Stegostoma tigrinum: one gene and its partner. The protein of the gene in region 2 purifies or fractionates together with the protein of the main gene of each other region. This does not show direct contact. Links are inferred from orthologs where the notes say so. Each region holds a gene or a part of one and is shown on either strand. Other genes may lie near its edges. The genes, in order: nudcd3 and klhl6.

Region 1 (8,296 bases), on a different chromosome or scaffold from region 2:
ATGATCCCTGGAATGGTAGTTTTAACATATGATGAACAGCTAAGGATCCTGGAATTGTACTCATTAGGGTTGAGAAGGTTGAGGGGAGATCTAATAGAAACTTACAAGATAATGTATGGCTTAGTAGGGGTGGACGCTAAGAGGTCGTTTCCGTTAGGCGGAGAGACTAGGACCCATGGGCACAGCCTTAGATTTAGAGGGGGTAAATTTAGAATGGAAATGAGGAGACATTTCTTCAGCCAGAGTGTGGTGGGCCTGTGGAATTCATTGCCACGGAGCGCAGTGGAGGCCTGGCTGTTAAATGTCTTCAAGACAGAGATTGATAAATTTGTGATCTCGCAAGGAATTAAGGGCTACGGGGAGAGTGCAGGGAAGTGAAGTTGAAATGCCCATCAGCCATGATTAAATGGCTGGAGTGGACTCGATGGGCCGAATGGCCTTACTTCCACTCCTATGTCTTATGGTCTTATAGTAAGCGAGGGAAGTGGAAAAGCTGATAAGGAGGAAAATGAGTAGGTAAAGATGGATTGGGTGCACTGAAAGCGACTGCACCCAAAACATAAAGTCAACTTTCTCTTTTGACATGGAAATCTGCTTTTATTCCAGATATTGGTGGCTAGTCTATCCCCAGACATGGAAACAGGGGTGACGAGGAAGGGAAGGCAGGAGTCAGAGAGAGACCAAGTGAAGATGGGAGTAAGGTGGAAACTGGAAGCCAAACTGATCATTTTTTTCTAATTCTGGGAGAAAGAGGGATGCAGCGCCAATGATGTACGGGCCATGTACGAGAGAAAATGTTGTGGGTGGGGTCCCCAATTCAGACACGAAAAATTATGTTCCAAGTAACCAACAAAGAGACAGGCATCACTGGGGCCCAAGCACGTACCCACAGCCATACTTTTGATCTGAAAAAAGAGACAGGAATTTAAGTAAGTGTTGTTTGAAGCCAGGATGAACTCAATCAGGTGGAGGAGGGTGGTGATGGAAGATGGGAATGGTTCAGCGCCTCCATAAAGAAGCAGAAAGCCCGAAGACAATCTGATCATGAATGAACATGTGAAGGGATTGCATGTCCACGGTCAAGAGGATGCCACTGTTGCCGGCAAAACGGAAATTCTAAAACAGACAGAAAGCATCAGAACAATCCAAGTGAAAGGACTGGACAAGGGCAAAAAAAGTGAGTCAAAAGCATGAAGACATTAAGTTCCATCGGGCAACAGCCAGCAGAAACATCATGTTTGTGGACTTTGGGAAGAAACTGGAAGTGGGCCGTGTGGGATTGGAAGACTGTGAGCTTGAAGGCAATGCAGACTGTGCAATGCCCTCCCGACAATGACTCACTTCGCAGCTCCACACGTATCATGTCCATCGATCAAAATAACTTACCAGCAGATTCACTGTTGTCATTAACTGACCAGTTGAGATGTTGAAAAACTAATTCTCATTGTTATAGACGTTGTATCCCTGTCACTCTTTGAGAAATGGGCACGAAGCCGAACACCACATTTTGAAAAGCAATTGTGGGCACACTCAGGTCTCATAAAATACACCTGCATCTTAACAATCCAAAGGAAAAACAGAAAATTTTGGACAAACTCAGCAGGTCTGGCAGCGAATGCACAGAGGGAGAATGAACTTTGAGTGTGACAGTTCTGAACGACTCAAGTCAAAGAAAAAAAACATTAAAAAACTTTTTCTCTCTCTCAACCAACGTTGCCAGACCTGCTGAATTTTTCCTGCAATTTAAGTTTTCATTTCAGATTTTCAACATCCACACTATTTTGCTTTTAACAAGCAAGCTGTGCTGCTGTTCACGTTTCATTCTGTCCATGAACTAATTACAGCATTAGATCAGCATTACTCCTGAAAGTCACTTTTTTCTGGCATCTCACAATGAAATTCTTCTGAACTCAACCACTTTTGAACAAGTTATCAAAAAGTCACTCAACTGGTTACTGTGTGCAGTTCTGTGCTCCTCACCGCGGAGCACTATTTACTTAGATTCTCTGTCCATTTGTGTTGATTCTGTAAATAATTTTAAAAGTGCAAATCCCAGGAAGGTCAAAGGTCATCCAGTCAGGGCTGACTGAGCTGGTATTGGCACAAGGCCAGGATGGTCAACTGAATTGGCTGAAGCCATTGAGTTCTGGTATGGTGCCTTTAACTTGGTGGAGTATCCCAAGCTCTTTCACGAGCAATTTCAGCTTCATCTGACACCAAGTCACATGACAAGTCATAGAATCCTTACAGTGTGCAAACAGGCCATTCAGCCCAATAAGTCCACACTGAACCTCCGAAGAGCATCCTACCCAGACCCAAACCCCTACCCAATCCATGGAACCCTCTGTTTTCTCTGGCTAATGCACTGAACCTACACATCCCGTAACAGAACGGACAATTTAACATAGCCAACCCACAAAACTTGAGGACCTTTGGAGTCTGGGAGGAAACCCACACAGACAGTCACCTCAGGGTGGAATTAAGCTTAGGTCCCTGGCACGGTGAGGCAATGGTGCAAACCACTGAGCCACCCATGATCTTGATTAAGATAAGTAGATTTTAAGCTGTTACTGAACGAGGAAAAAAAACAAGATTGCGAGTCAGAGACACTAGGATCCCAACTCAATACACTTCAGTGCTTCAGGTCCACATGACTGAAGACACATGGGCATGACTAGAACTAAAATCAGACATGCAAGAACCAGAATTAGAGTGAAACAGAAAACCCCTGGAGAATTGGACTGGGGTACATTTGATTGAAGGAGAAGCAAAGATCTGTTCTGGAGTCTGAAAACCGCAATCGAGGTGTCGTTGGACAGGGCGTGCGCACCTGAAGTTGGGTGGTTACCGTTCTGTACTCCCCTCCCAAGCTGAGCACTCCAACCTCCACTGCCACTATTCCTCTAGCCACCTGTAAACCTCCTGCAACAATGCACCCGCTTGTTCTTGACCCTTGGGCTGAGGCCAGCAGGTGCTCCTTAGCCACCCAGTCAATGCCCCTCACCACTGCAGCAAATGGCACTTGAACTCAGATGTTTTGGCAGGGACACAATCAACATGCCACAAAACCCCGAATAATGGAACTTAAGGAAGATGACAGCTGGTGCTCTGAAGCAACTAAGTTCAAAGGGGCAAAAGGAACCAAAAACAAAAATGCATGTGAGGGAGAGTTGCTGAGAGGGTGGCTTTTCGACCAGAACACACTTTCAGATTTGACACTGGGCTGTCTTGGTCCACAACTGGAAAGCCTGGGGTTTGATTTTGAGCAGGAGACGGAGAGGGTCGGGAGGGAGGCGACAGAGGAAGCGAACCGGTGCCTTGGCGGCGGCGGGGGCCTCCTCGGTCCGCGGGCACTCACCCTCAGGGCCAGCTTCTCGGCCACTCCGGGTGGGAACCCCAGCCTGTCCTCCTTCAGCGCCATCACTCGGAAAAAGTCGGTCTTCCTGTAGAGGAAGCCGAAGAAAACTTCCAGAAAGTTCTCGATCTTGCCCACATGCTGCAGGATGCCCAGCAGCGCCTGGTCGTACATCTCGGTCACCTCGGGAGGGCCGTCCATGGCCGCCTCGTCCCTTATCCTCCTGGACTCCCGCGGTCTCCCTGGGCACTCGACAATAATCTCGATCCTTTTGTTTTCTTCCTTGGTTTTAGTTTTCTTCCCCCGTTCCTTTCGCGTCTCTCTCCTCCCAACCGCTCGCCCGAGGGACTTCCGGCGGAACCGGTCCGTCACCCACAATCATCCCCCGCCCCGGCACCGCGTTTCCCCGTCTCTAACCTTCCCCCGCTCACAACGCCAACGCGACTGGAGACAAGAGGTGCAGCTGGTGTCTGGAGGGTATCAGGTGATGAAGGCAGGTTCAAATGGTTGCATTCAAAAAGGAATTAGTTGGATTTTATAGGAACCCGTTCGGGGAAGTTTGAACGCTCATCTGAAACAAGTGGGATTTGAACGCAGACCTCCTGAGTCGGAGGAGAGACACAAACAATGCCTCTTGTTCCTCGGGAAGCTAAGGAAATTCACTACGCCCATAACAAACCCTCAACCACTTTTACAGATGCACCATAGTTACCATCCTGTCTGGATGCATCACGGCTTGGTATGGCAACTGCTCTGCTCAGGACCGTAAGAAACTACACTGTGCACAGTCCAGACCATCATGCAAGCCAACTTTCAATCCATTGACTTCAAATACACTTCAAGATGCCACAGATATGCAGCGAAGATGACCAAAGAGCCCTCCCACACTCAGGCAGTAGATACAAAAGCTTAACCAAAAATCCCAACAGGTTCAAGAACAGAGATAGCAGAGATAACAAGGTGAAGAGCTAAATGAACACGGCAGAACAAGCAGCTGTGAAGAAGAATCTGTGAAGAGGGAAAACGTCAGCTTTGTGCTCCTCTGATGCTCTTGGCCTGCTGTGTTCATCCAGCTCTATGGCTTGTCATCTCAGGTTCGAGAACAGCTTCTTCTGAACGGACCTCTCAAATTTCAAATCCAATGTTTAGCTTGCTTTTTGTGCACCTTCTTTCCGGCTGTAACTTAGTCTTCCTTACTGTATTCAGTCACCCTAGGATCTTGGTATGTGATGATCTGCCTATACTGCGCACAAAACAAAATGTACCAAAGTACGTGACAATAATAAATCAAATCAAATCACAGCCACTGCATCAGCACGGCCATGCAAAGGGAATTTGATAGCTTTCCAAAGAAGAAATAAGCTGCAAGATTCGACCGAGCATATAAAAGTATGAAACAAAGTGTGGGGCTGGATGAACACAGCAGGCCAAGCAGCATCTCAGGAGCACAGAAGCTGACGTTTCGGGCCTAGACCCAAACAAAGTATGTTGCTGATTGGCAAACAGAAGAATAAAATTGGTTCTGAACTTGCAACAATTCTCAACAACTAGCTAACATTTTAGAAGTCTGTGAGGTCAAAACAGATTTTTGTTTTCCTTTAGGGTCTATCTATAAGGATCGTTGGTGAATTTCTGCCTCTTGTAGATAGTACACACTGCTGCTACTGAGCATCGGTGGTACAGGGAGTGGATGCTTACCGATGTGGTGCCAATGAGGCAGCTGCTCTGTTCTGGATAGTAGGGAAACTCCTTGATTTGATTTATTATTTTCACATATACTGAGATATAGCAAAAGGTTTTGTTTTACATGCTATCTAGGCAAATCATTACCTCACACAAGTGCCTGAGGGAAGTAGAACAGAATATTATGTTACAGCTATAGAGGAGATGCAGAAAAAGATGACCTCTAATATATGAGCTGTCCAATCAAGGTCTAATAAAAGCAAGTAAGAAGCTGTTCTTGAATCTGTTGGTCCATATTTTCAAACTTTTCCATCTTCTGTCTGAGAGAAGAGGATAGAAGAGAGTATAACCGGTGTGGTCTTTGATTATGCTCGCTGCTGTTCCAAGGCAGTGGTAACTGTAGATGGAGTCAATGGAGAGAAGGCTAAATTTTTGTGACAGTGTGTACTGCGTTCACAATTCTCTCTAATTTCTTGCAGTTTTGAGCACAGCAGTTGGCATACCAAGCTGTGACACACCTGCATAGAATGCTCTCGATGGTGCATCTATGAAATTGGAAAAAGTAATTGTAGACCTGCTGAATTTCCTTAGCCTTCTGAGGACATTGAGGTGTGGGTGCACAGTCTTGACTGTAGCATCATGGATGAACCAGGATAGGTCACTGGTGATATTTACTCCAAAGCACTTGAAGCTCTCAACCTCTTGACCTCAGCACCATTAATACACATACTGACATGTGCTCCACTCCCGTTCCTGAAGTCGATGACCAGCTCCTTCGTTTTGCTGGCATTGAGAGAGAGAAATTGTTGTTTTTGCACCATGCCACTAAGCTGTCTATCTTTTGCCTATACTCTGTCATGATGGTGGTGTCATCAGCAAAGTTGTCAATCGAGTTAAAGCTAAATTTGACCACACAGTTGTGAGTATATAGGGAGTATAGTCAGGGGCAGAGTACACAGCCTTGTGAAACACCAGTAAGGATTATCGTGGAGGACGTGTTGTTACTGATGGCAGTCTGTGGATGAGGAATTCAAGGATCCAGTTGCAGAGGGCGGAGCAGAAACCCATGTTTTGTTGTTTGGAAGTTAGGTTGGCAGTTGAGGGCTTAGTTGAAGGCAGAGCTCTATAAGAGCCTGACGTGGGTATTCTCATTATTCAAATGTTCCAGGGATCAGTGTCGGTCTAAGAAGATGGCATTTGCCACGGACCTATTATGACAGTTGGCAAACTCTAGTGGATCAAGGCTGTCGGGGAGGCTGGAGTTGACGTGTACCATTACTAACCTCTCGAAGCATTTCATATGATGGATTTCAGAGCCACTAGGTGTTAAGTCATTGAGGCGGGCTCTCTGCTATGTCTTTGGCACCAGGCTGATAGTGGTCTTCTTGAAGTCGGTGGGAACTTCAGATCGTAGTAAGGAGAGGTTAAAGATGTCAGTGAATAGTCTAGCCAGCTAGTCTGCACAGGATCTAATTGCATGGCCAGGGTCTCCATCCAGGCCAGTTAGTTTCTATAGGTTCACCCTAAAGATGCTCAGCTGACATTTGCAGCAGTGACTATGGGTACAGGTGGACCTGAAGCTGCAGGGCAGGTCACATCATTTCACTGACAGTCGGTTTCAAATGAGCACAGAATGCATTCAGCTCATCAGGGAGGATTGCAATGTTGCCAGCAATTCTATTCAACTTCACTTCGTCACCTGTTTTCTCATGCCAGTCTTGCCACAATTGACATGTAGTTGTACAGTTAGTCTGGGACTTTAGTCTAATCTGGTGTCTTTGTCTCTTAGTGTCCCTGATGGCTTTTCAAGGGTTGTACCTAGATTTGCTGTATAGGTCAGGGTCACCCGATGTGAACGCCTCAGACCTGGACTTCAGTAGGGAGAACATCTCCCAGTTAATCCACGGTTTTTGGTTGGGGAACACTCAGATTAACTTCTTTGGCAAACATCTTCCAGACAATTACTAATTAGGTCGGTGACGGTAGTTGCATTATCATTTTGGTTGGTAACCGATGTTCAATATGGACCAGTCCACCGATTCCACGCAGTAACAAAGGAGCTCATCCATTACTTCACACCAGCACAAGACAACTTTATGTCCAGGCCCTCGTGCTTCAGTTTTTGCTTGTAAGCCGAGAAAAGGTGCACAGTCTTATGGTTCGATTTTCCAAAATATGGGAGGGAGTTAGAGAGTTGGCACCTTTCATGATTATATCACAATGGTGAAGGGTGTTTGGGCCTCTAGTGGGACAGGAGATATGTTGATGGTATCTTGATAGCATACTCTTGATGTGAGCATGGTTCAATTCGCTGGCTACAACGAACAAGGCCTCAGGGTATTCTGTGTCAAGGCTATTTTTCACAGCGTACATTTCATCAATTGCAATCTTCAGTTCTGCATGGAGTCGGATGTAAACTGCTGTCAGGCTAGCAGAAGTGAACTCCCATGGCAGGTGGTAGGTACAGCACTTGACTGTTCTACATTCAGGGAGCAGTAATGTGTCAGTGTCATCACATCTGAGCACCAAGGGGCGTTGATCATGAGGCAGACCCCTGTGCCCCACGCCTTGCTCAAGGATGTTGTGTGTACCGTCTGACAAAATTCAGAAACAGTCAGTTGAAGCAGGAATGAGCCATGTCTTTGTAAAAGAGTGCACACAGCAGGCCACTCAATTCCCTTTGGTCGGTGCGTCCAGCTTGTTTTCCACAGCTTGTACTTTTGCACAAGTGCCTCAGGATAAGGTGGCACCTTTGGCTCCTTCATCAGTGAGATCTTCCCTCCATCCACAGGTCAGAGCCAGGGATACTGAACTTGAAACTGCATCACCTGCAGGCCAGCACATCTCTCCCATTTCCTGGGTAAGAGGCTGCTTCTGGTCAGGCCCAAGGAGCCAGTGTAGATTGTCTGCCATCCCAGAAGGTACATGCGTGCATCCAGTAGGGTCATGGACACAGATCGCAGCCTTGGGTACACCGGAGGGTGTATTGATTTCGATCTGGCTGGGCCACAAAGTCAGGTCTCCACAAGGTCAGGTAAGGTCGCAGAGCCGGGTTGCCGATCAATATCTGGTGTTGGGCCTTCCAAAAGCCAGTAACTGGTTCATCTCTTTGTTGTCACAGTCGCGGATCCAGTGTTAGCAGTTGGGCCCCACTCACCACACTCCAGCGCCATTTTGGAAGCGGTCTCAATTGTCATCCCAGGTGTACTCATCCGGGCAAGTAGGGAGTATTCCATTGCATTCCTGGCATGTTCTTCA
Region 2 (8,278 bases):
TCTCTTTCTTTCAATAGTGGCTTTGAGCTTTACAACATTTCCCTGTCGATTTCCATGCAAAGGACTCAATATTCCACCTGCAGGATGTTTCTATAATCCTATCTAATGAAGTGATGGGCCTGGTCCTGGACTGATGATGGTGTCGAGAAGTCAGGTTATACTCCTTCTCAGATGGTTTCCCATGGACAGGAATCGGCCACAGGAGATGCTAACAAATATGAGTTCTGGGACACGGCTCCACAGTGTGAATTTACATTCGCCATGACTTGAATTTTCTTCTAGTCAATTCAAAAATTCTTTGGTATGGACTACACCATAAATAGGTTTTACATCTTTCAGAGTCTTTTGGTATTGTTGGGAGGTTCCAGTGATTTGCGATGCTTGTTCCATTGGGCATGGGAGACATTTGCGTTAAGGATCTGGTCACGGGGTACCATTGAGCTGTTACTATCCCCCAGACAATGACTACTTGGGGTCTCTAACCCACATAGTATCCCACAGGGAATTACTCACCAATCAACATTCACCCCACAATAACCTGCTGAGAGTTCCATGTAAAGAATTATTTTGTGGCACTACTTGGCTCTGAGTCAAATGATAAGGGGTTTAAGACCCAGTCCAGGTTTGTTGACATAATCTAACCTGTTGGTTCAGTGTAAGACAAAGAGAAAGAACATTATTGGAAATGCTCACTTTCACATGAACTATAGCAACTTGAAGATCAAAGGTATCTTCCAGATGCCCTGACCAATGTTCATCCCTCAATCTCCACCAAGAGTGACTTCTGTGTAAAATTGGTGTCATTGATTCAGTCGCTAATTTTAACACGTCCCCAAGCAAAAATTTGGGAGAAATCTGTAACTTGCTATTGCTATTTATTCCATAAAACACAAAGCCAAAGTTAATCCCTCAACAGTGAATTAATCAGTCATTATCACATTGCTGCCTATGTTTTATCGGCAATGAAGATCTATGCAAGTTAACAAACGTCTATATGAATGGACCAGCTGTCATCAACACATTTCTGTGCTGCAAGGGACCTGGACATTCCATCAATAAAGACTCTGCTGCATACACCTGATTAAATGGGAGGTCTATGAAAGAAATACTACTGTCCTTCTTGAAGCCAGTTCCACAAACATTCAGAAGAAACCCCAGCAAGATTAGCGGTGAAGAATTGAGCTCAGTGTCCAGTGGATGGCTGAAATTATCTCGCCTGCTGGGTCCCGTCTTCTCAACTACTGAATGGTCAATGTTCCAGGGAAGGGGAAAGAACACACTATAAAGACTCTCCGAAACTCTCCTTGAGGAACAGCATCACTGACATCAGTGACCGGGAGGAGATTGCTTCCATATGTTCAAAATGGCAACAATCTTTCTATCAAGTTTGATCACATTTTTGCCTGAAAACATTAATGACGAAGTGACGTAATGGCAGAGAAGGAAAGAAAAGAAAGCAAATCCTGCACCCCAGATCCCACTGCCTCATCCAACCAATGTACCCAAAGATCTGTAGGTTGAGAATTGGCCTGTGAATCATATTGGGACCCATGCTGGAAACACACAATCATACATTGACGTCATCTTCAATTCAAGGGACAGGTGGCAATGATGCTGCCTGTGTGATCTTTCTGTGCACAGATTGGCTACTTCGTCTGCATATATACCAACACTGATGACATTTCAAAAGTACCTCATTGGCTTTTTAGTGCTTTTGAAAGTTCTGATGATGTATAAATTTGTTAGATGGTTTATGTCTTTATAAATTTAAAGTAAAAGCACAACACACTGCATGCGATGAAAAGATGTGTCAGTCTATCAGCTTGATATCTATAGCCAAAGACATATTTTCTTAGGGGCTCAGAGGCTGATATTGGAGTCATAGTATGGAGCTGGACGAACACAGCAGGCCAGGCAGCATCAGAAGAGCAGGAAAGTCGACGTTTCAGGTCAGGACCATCTGTATTTATTTCCGAGCTCCCATCTCCATTTCTGAAGAAGGGTCCCGACCCGAAGTGTCAACTTTCCTGCTCCTCTGATGCTGCCTGGCCTGCTGTGTTCCTCCAGCTCCACACTGTGTCATCTTAGGGGCCCACTCCCCACAATCTTTTGCATCTTTAAATGGGCCCGTGATTTGTCTCACATATTGAGTAGCCAACTTTATTTGGGCATATTCCTGGGTCTTTCCTTTGGTATTTAAAAATGTCCGTGGCTAATAAATGCAAGTAAATGAACGAATCAATGAAAATGAATGAATTTTTTTAATTGTTTCCTGTTCGGGAGGCACAAAGTTGACAATGTTTGCTCATCCTCACATTTCCCTAATGTTTTGCTCCAATAATCACAGATCAGCAATAGGATACCACACTGAGACATCAGGAACAAACTAATAACTGAAGCCATTCCTATTTGTCAGCTGTGGCACTTAAACAGTGAACAGAAAGACAGGTACAGAGTTTCTTTGAGTAAAAATGATTGGCCACAGAACAGTGAGGTTTTGGAGCACTATTACTGTATATTTCTTTATCTCTTTATTGGTTTACAGGCTTCAGCACCACCTTCAAAGCTCTTTGTCTATTCTTTCTCCCTTAAGATGCTACTTAAAACATACCTCTCCATCACTGTAACTATGCTTTGCTTTGGGCCTTTGTTTCCGACTTGGTGTCATTTTTCCATCCTATTATTCTGCTGTGATGATACATTAAAGGTGCTATTTCAATGCAAGTTGTTGCTGGCAAAGACATTCTCAAACTCGGGAACTATTCAAACGTTGGGCAGAAATTAGCGTCGTCCCAAAGAAATGATTGTCGTGGAATATCCATGGCAAGATTTAACTTGAATATCAACAAATTGCCTTTATGCAGTGTCTCCAATACAGTTAAAAAAAGACTTGGACTCCCCACAAGGGAATTATCAGACACAGATAATTGTGTTGACACAAAGGAGATATTAGGGCCAGTGAGCAGATGTTTGGTCAAACAAGGAGGTCTGAAGGAGCTTTTTAAAGGTCCACAGAGGAGAGGCAAAGGAGTTTAAGAGATGGAAGTCAGGACTTCAGGCCTAGACAACTGAAGGTACAGTCACCGATGCTGGGCCGAAGGAAATATCCAACAGTCTTGGCACATAAACAAAGAAATGATGCTTTCGGCCTACCTGAAGTAACTGCTGGCAGCTGCCAACACAACCCGGTGACAGGAAAACTCTCTGTCATCCACACACAGGACAACATCCGTGAGGGAGCTGTCCAGCCGGAGGTCATCCAGGCCACCCTGCAGGATAGTGGAGAAGCCGGTGTCGTTGAAAGTCACTGTCCCGTCTGACGAGCTTTCTGTCAGCCCCTCAACAGCCCAGGTATGTTTCCCAGCCTGGCAGCTCGAGCCCTTGTCGCTGCTGCTCTCCACTACAACAGCCATTTCGCATACTCCTGCCTGGTTGCTCCACTCCTCACAGGCTGATGCAGCGTTTTGAGGTTTCACAGTCAGTTGTAATGTTGCCCTTTGACGGATTTCCTGCTCATGACTCGCTTCTTATCAGAGACCAACACATATGCAGAACAGGAAGAGCAACACTTTCTCGTATTTTTTTCCTTCTTCGCCATCCTCCCCTGCCCCCCTCACCCCCTGCCTGTACTGATGTGGAGTTGTTAGCCCATCGAATGATCATAATAAAATGTTTTTGCACCTCTTTCAAGTTTCCTTTCTGCTGTACAGAGAGCTGAAAGTTACTTCACTGGATACAGCTCCAATAATATCAGAACGTTTATAGCCATTGGGTGTAAGAGGCAAAGCAAGGGTTTGGAAGATGAGCGTGTCTGATCTGAATCCTCAATGCGACAGTCAGTTCCAATCTGAGGGATGCCTTCCCCAGAATAAGATGTTTTCTGGCAGGTCCACAACAAGACAGCGATGATTTTCCATCACGCAATTCCTTTAATGTTCCACCATCTCTCCTGGAGGATAATGGTGCTTGTTGATGTTTGATGCTATGGGCTTGGAAAGTTCATACATTGTGTTGCAAAGTGCAAACACTGCCTCTCGCAGTGAGTTCACAAATTCTAACCCTAGTGCAAAGCTATATCACTGCCGCCAGAGGGTGGTGGGCTTATGGAATTCATTGCCGCAGAGTGCAGTGGAGGCCGGGACGTTGGATGCCTTCAAGGCAGAGATCGACAAATTCTTGATCTCAAAAGGAATCAAGGGCTACGGAGTGGGGGGGGGGGGGGGGGGGGGAGTGCAGGGAAGTGGTGTTGAAATGCCCATCAGCCATGATTTAAATGGTGGAGTGGACTTGATGGGCCAAATGGCCTTACTTCCACTCCTATGTCTTATGGTCTTAGGATGAGGGGATCTAGTGCAGCAAGTGTGACCAATAGACAGGGCAATGGATCCCGTTGAAACACAGTCGTCAGGCTGATAGGGAATCAGGATTAAGCATTCTCATTATATGTAACTGTAGTGTAATATTGCAGTCTCCTGAGACAATCAGCGCAGACTGAATATAGTTCTGGATTTGAGTGAAGATTGTAGCTTCGGCTGTTGGCTGTAGACGTTGGTTGAGGATATCACCTTGTAAGGGGATGAAACGTTTGCTATCAAACCTCCCAGCTCGACGAACATACCAACATCCACAGACTAAATATAATCACTGGAATAAAGTGAGGCAAGTTTACAAATGATGCTTTTTGGGTTATAGGATGTCAACTCAAATAGAGCATTTTTTCACTTTTTAACCCTTGAACCCTATCAAACTGTCCCAAGTTAAGAACCACAGATTGGGTGTTGAGTGAAGCTTCCTCTACACTGTGTCAACAAACATTTCCAGTCTTAATTACAGTGCAAATCTCTTGTACGGTCGCATCAAACACTCCCTGGGCAGTTACAGCCAAGGTCGACATAAAATAAAACTCCCTTATCCTGTCTCGTCATGTGTTGCTAAAACAAGGATAAGTTAGAGACAGAGTAAAGCTGACTGTAAAATTGAGAAATTCTCAGGTCATATGCATCACAGTTGGCTACAGAGTAGAAACTGTTCCGTGAAGCATTCCCAGGTGAGAAACAGCACAGGTCAGATATAGAGTAAATCTTCCACTACAGTGTTATAACAAGATGTGGCAAGTTATCAATAGCAGCAATTCAACTTCAATCCAACCTCAGTGTCAGATTAGCACCGCCTGCTGCAATAGTCTATCCTCTGACCTTTCCCAGGGAGGTTGTCAATTGCAAGGCCATTTCCAATTTGTGTAAAAGTGTGAACAATTCCATGGGCCACGCCAGAAACTTGAGTGCCAGCTATCCAAATGCAGGGCAGATGAAACTTATCAAGCATTTACAAACCCCTACTTTATTGGTCTGCTCTGTATTTCCAATGCAGAGTGCAGGGAGTGATCTGATGAACTTTGACAGCAAATTTGCATCAGGTCTGTCAATCCAGTTCATTCACTAGATCATCTCCACGATGCCCCATACATTTTTTGAAGGCAATTATTGCTAAGTAAACAACTGCGAGTGTTTGAATGTTCTGTGTGTTCAATGTTGCCTGCAAAAGGTAGAGACGCTTGGTGGTTTGGCCATGTTAAATTGCCCATAGTGTTCAGGTGGGTTATAGCGGGGTGGGTCTGGGTGAGATGCTTTGAGGTTCGGTATGGACTGGGCCGAAGGGCCTGTTTCCACACTGTGGGGATTCTATGATTCTATGAAAGCAATCTGGTTTATTTTAAGCATGTCACAATATTAAAATAAGGAAGTTGTGCAACAGTTACAGGCTCTTGATCAGTTTTCTTCCGGAGTATTGTGTTTAGTCTAGGAGCACTGCACCTCAGGAAGAATATAGTGGCTTGATTGAGTACACACTAAGACTCCCAGAATGATAAAAGATAAAACTATTAGGACAGTGCTCATACAAAAGGTACTCTCTCCGAAATCCCTCTGCCTCAGTACTGAGGCCATGCCAGATTTTGGAACTTGCTGACTTTCAGGGAAAAATTTGGAATGTGTTAATTCAGGTCAAGATCCAGTCAATAGGGGAACAGGAAAACCAACAGATATTATAAGTTAATCACCATATCGCTGCTGATATTAATTCACTTCACACGCAAAGGCTCGTACACACCATTCCCCACTTCCCTACATTGGTTAGCCGATTTAAATTGACAAAAAATTGTCGTGTTTGTGTGTGTGTGTGTGTGTGTGTGTATATCCCTGTATAAATGCACACAATTAGTTCAATTTAGCACTCTTCTTAGAGTCACTTAATATTCTGGCTGTTTTCCAGGTCATTGGATCTGTTGTTATTTTGCATCAGAGGAAGTTCACTTTAAGCTCCGCCCTCCTCTGTCCTGTTTGGAGAAGTGGGCCTATTGTTCCACAGAATGATCTGCTCCACTAACTATTACAGATATCCATCTCACTTTGAGATTAATCCCCTTCCCCTCAGTTATGCCTTTTCCGATGGGACATCTTAAAACCTTTGCTCAACATTCATCTACCAAAGCCGGAATAAGAGTCTAAATCTCAGGATATAATGGACAATTCTTGTCCTTCCTGGGGCTGGGGGCTAGGGTTTGAATTTATAAGCTCAATCATTGTTAAAATGTTTTTGACAAGCTTTACTTTTTCCTTAAACATATAACACATCATCATTGTCACATTTGTGGAAGGCTACATGATGGTGCGTTTTCCCTCCATTACTTCAGAATATTGTGTTGCACAAAATCATTATCTTTAACTAACCCTCCCATTCCCTCCCTCACATCCCTGGGGGGGAACTGACTCCAGCTAGAACAGAGCTGAATGTGTTTTGAGATAACAAGGTGTAGAGCTGGATGAACACAGCAGGCCAAGCAGCATCAGAGGAGCAGGAATGCTGGCGTTTCGGGCCTAGACCCTTCTTCAGAAATGGGGGAGGGGAAGGAGATTCTGAAATAAATAGGGAGAGAGGGGGAAGCGGATCGAAGATGGATAGAGGAGAAAATAGATGGAGAGGAGACAGACAGATCAAAGGGGCGGGGATGGAGCCAGAAAAGGTGAGTGTAAGTGGGGAGCTAGGGTGGGGATAGGTCAATCCAGAGAGGATGGACAGGTCAAGGAGGCCGGCTGAGGCTGGTAGTTAGGAGGTGGGGATGGGGCTTGAGGTGGGAGGAGTGGATAAGTGGGAGGAAGGTCGGACAGGTTAGGGAGGCGGGGATGAACTGGGCTGGTTTTGGGATGCATTCAGGGAGGGGACATTTTGAAGCTTGTGAAGTCCACATTGATACCATTGGGCTGCAGGGTTCCCAAACGAAATATGAGATGCCGTTCCTGCAACCTTTGGGTAGCATCATTGTGCCACTGGAGGAGGCCCAAGATGGACATGTTGTCTAAGGAGTGGGAGGGGGAGTTGAAATGGTTCGCAACTGGGAGGTGCGTTTGTCGCGAACTGAGCATAGGTGTTCCACATGTGTGACCTATTTTGATTTATGTGCAACCACAGACGTTGACTGTCATCTGAAAGAAAGAGCATGCATTTGTATAGCACGTTTACTATCTCAGGATATCTACCCAAAAGCATTCACATTGACTGACATACTTCGGAAGTGTTGCAATATAACAACCAGTGTGTAGAGCTGGATGAACCCAGCAGGGCAGGCAGCATCAGAGGAGCAGGAAGGCTGACATTTTGGAAAGGTCTATTTCTTCAGAAGGGTCTATTTCTGAAGAAGGATCTAGCCCAAAACATCAGCCTTCCTGCTCCTCTGATGCTGCTTGGCCTGCTGTGTTCATCCAGCTCTACATCTTGTTATCTCAGATTCTCCAGCATCTGCAGTTCCTACTATCTCTAATAACCACTGTGGCTTGCTTGTGCACAGCACATTTCTAAAAAGCATAGTTAAATAAATTACCCTTTTGTATTAGAGATAATGGGAACTGCAGATGCTGGAGAATCCAAGATAATAAAATGTGAGGCTGGATGAACACAGCAGGACAAGCAGCATCTCAGGAGCACAAAAGCTGACGGTTCGGGCCTAGGCCCTTCATCAGAGAGGGGGATGGGGTGAGGGTTCTGGAATAAATAGGGAGAGAGGGGGAGGCGGGCCGAAGATGGAGAGTAAAGAAGATAGGTGGAGAGAGTATAGGTGGGGAGGTAGGGAGGGGATAGGTCAGTCCAGGGAAGACGGACAGGTCAAGGAGGTGGGATGAGATTAGTAGGTAGCTGGGGGTGCGGCTTGGTGTGGGAGGAAGGGATGGGTGAGAGGAAGAACCGGTTAGGGAGGCAGAGACAGGTTGGACTGATTTTGGGAGGC

Evidence for each region.
Region 1: the proteins of klhl6 (region 2) and nudcd3 purify together in Homo sapiens (affinity purification with mass spectrometry; 3 studies listed by BioGRID and IntAct, counting the BioPlex papers as one, with this or other methods). This does not show direct contact. The link is inferred for Stegostoma tigrinum from reciprocal best matches to the Homo sapiens genes KLHL6 and NUDCD3.

The regions. Positions count from the first base shown.
Region 1 is NC_081393.1:11,210,987-11,219,282, reverse strand, and holds the start of nudcd3 (nudC domain-containing protein 3), read right to left. Parts: upstream 3,718-8,296; 5' UTR 3,557-3,717; coding exon 3,359-3,556; intron 1-3,358.
Region 2 is NC_081367.1:10,818,987-10,827,264, forward strand, and holds the start of klhl6 (kelch-like protein 6), read right to left. Parts: upstream 3,449-8,278; 5' UTR 3,414-3,448; coding exon 3,154-3,413; intron 1-3,153. UniProt on the Homo sapiens protein: Involved in B-lymphocyte antigen receptor signaling and germinal center formation.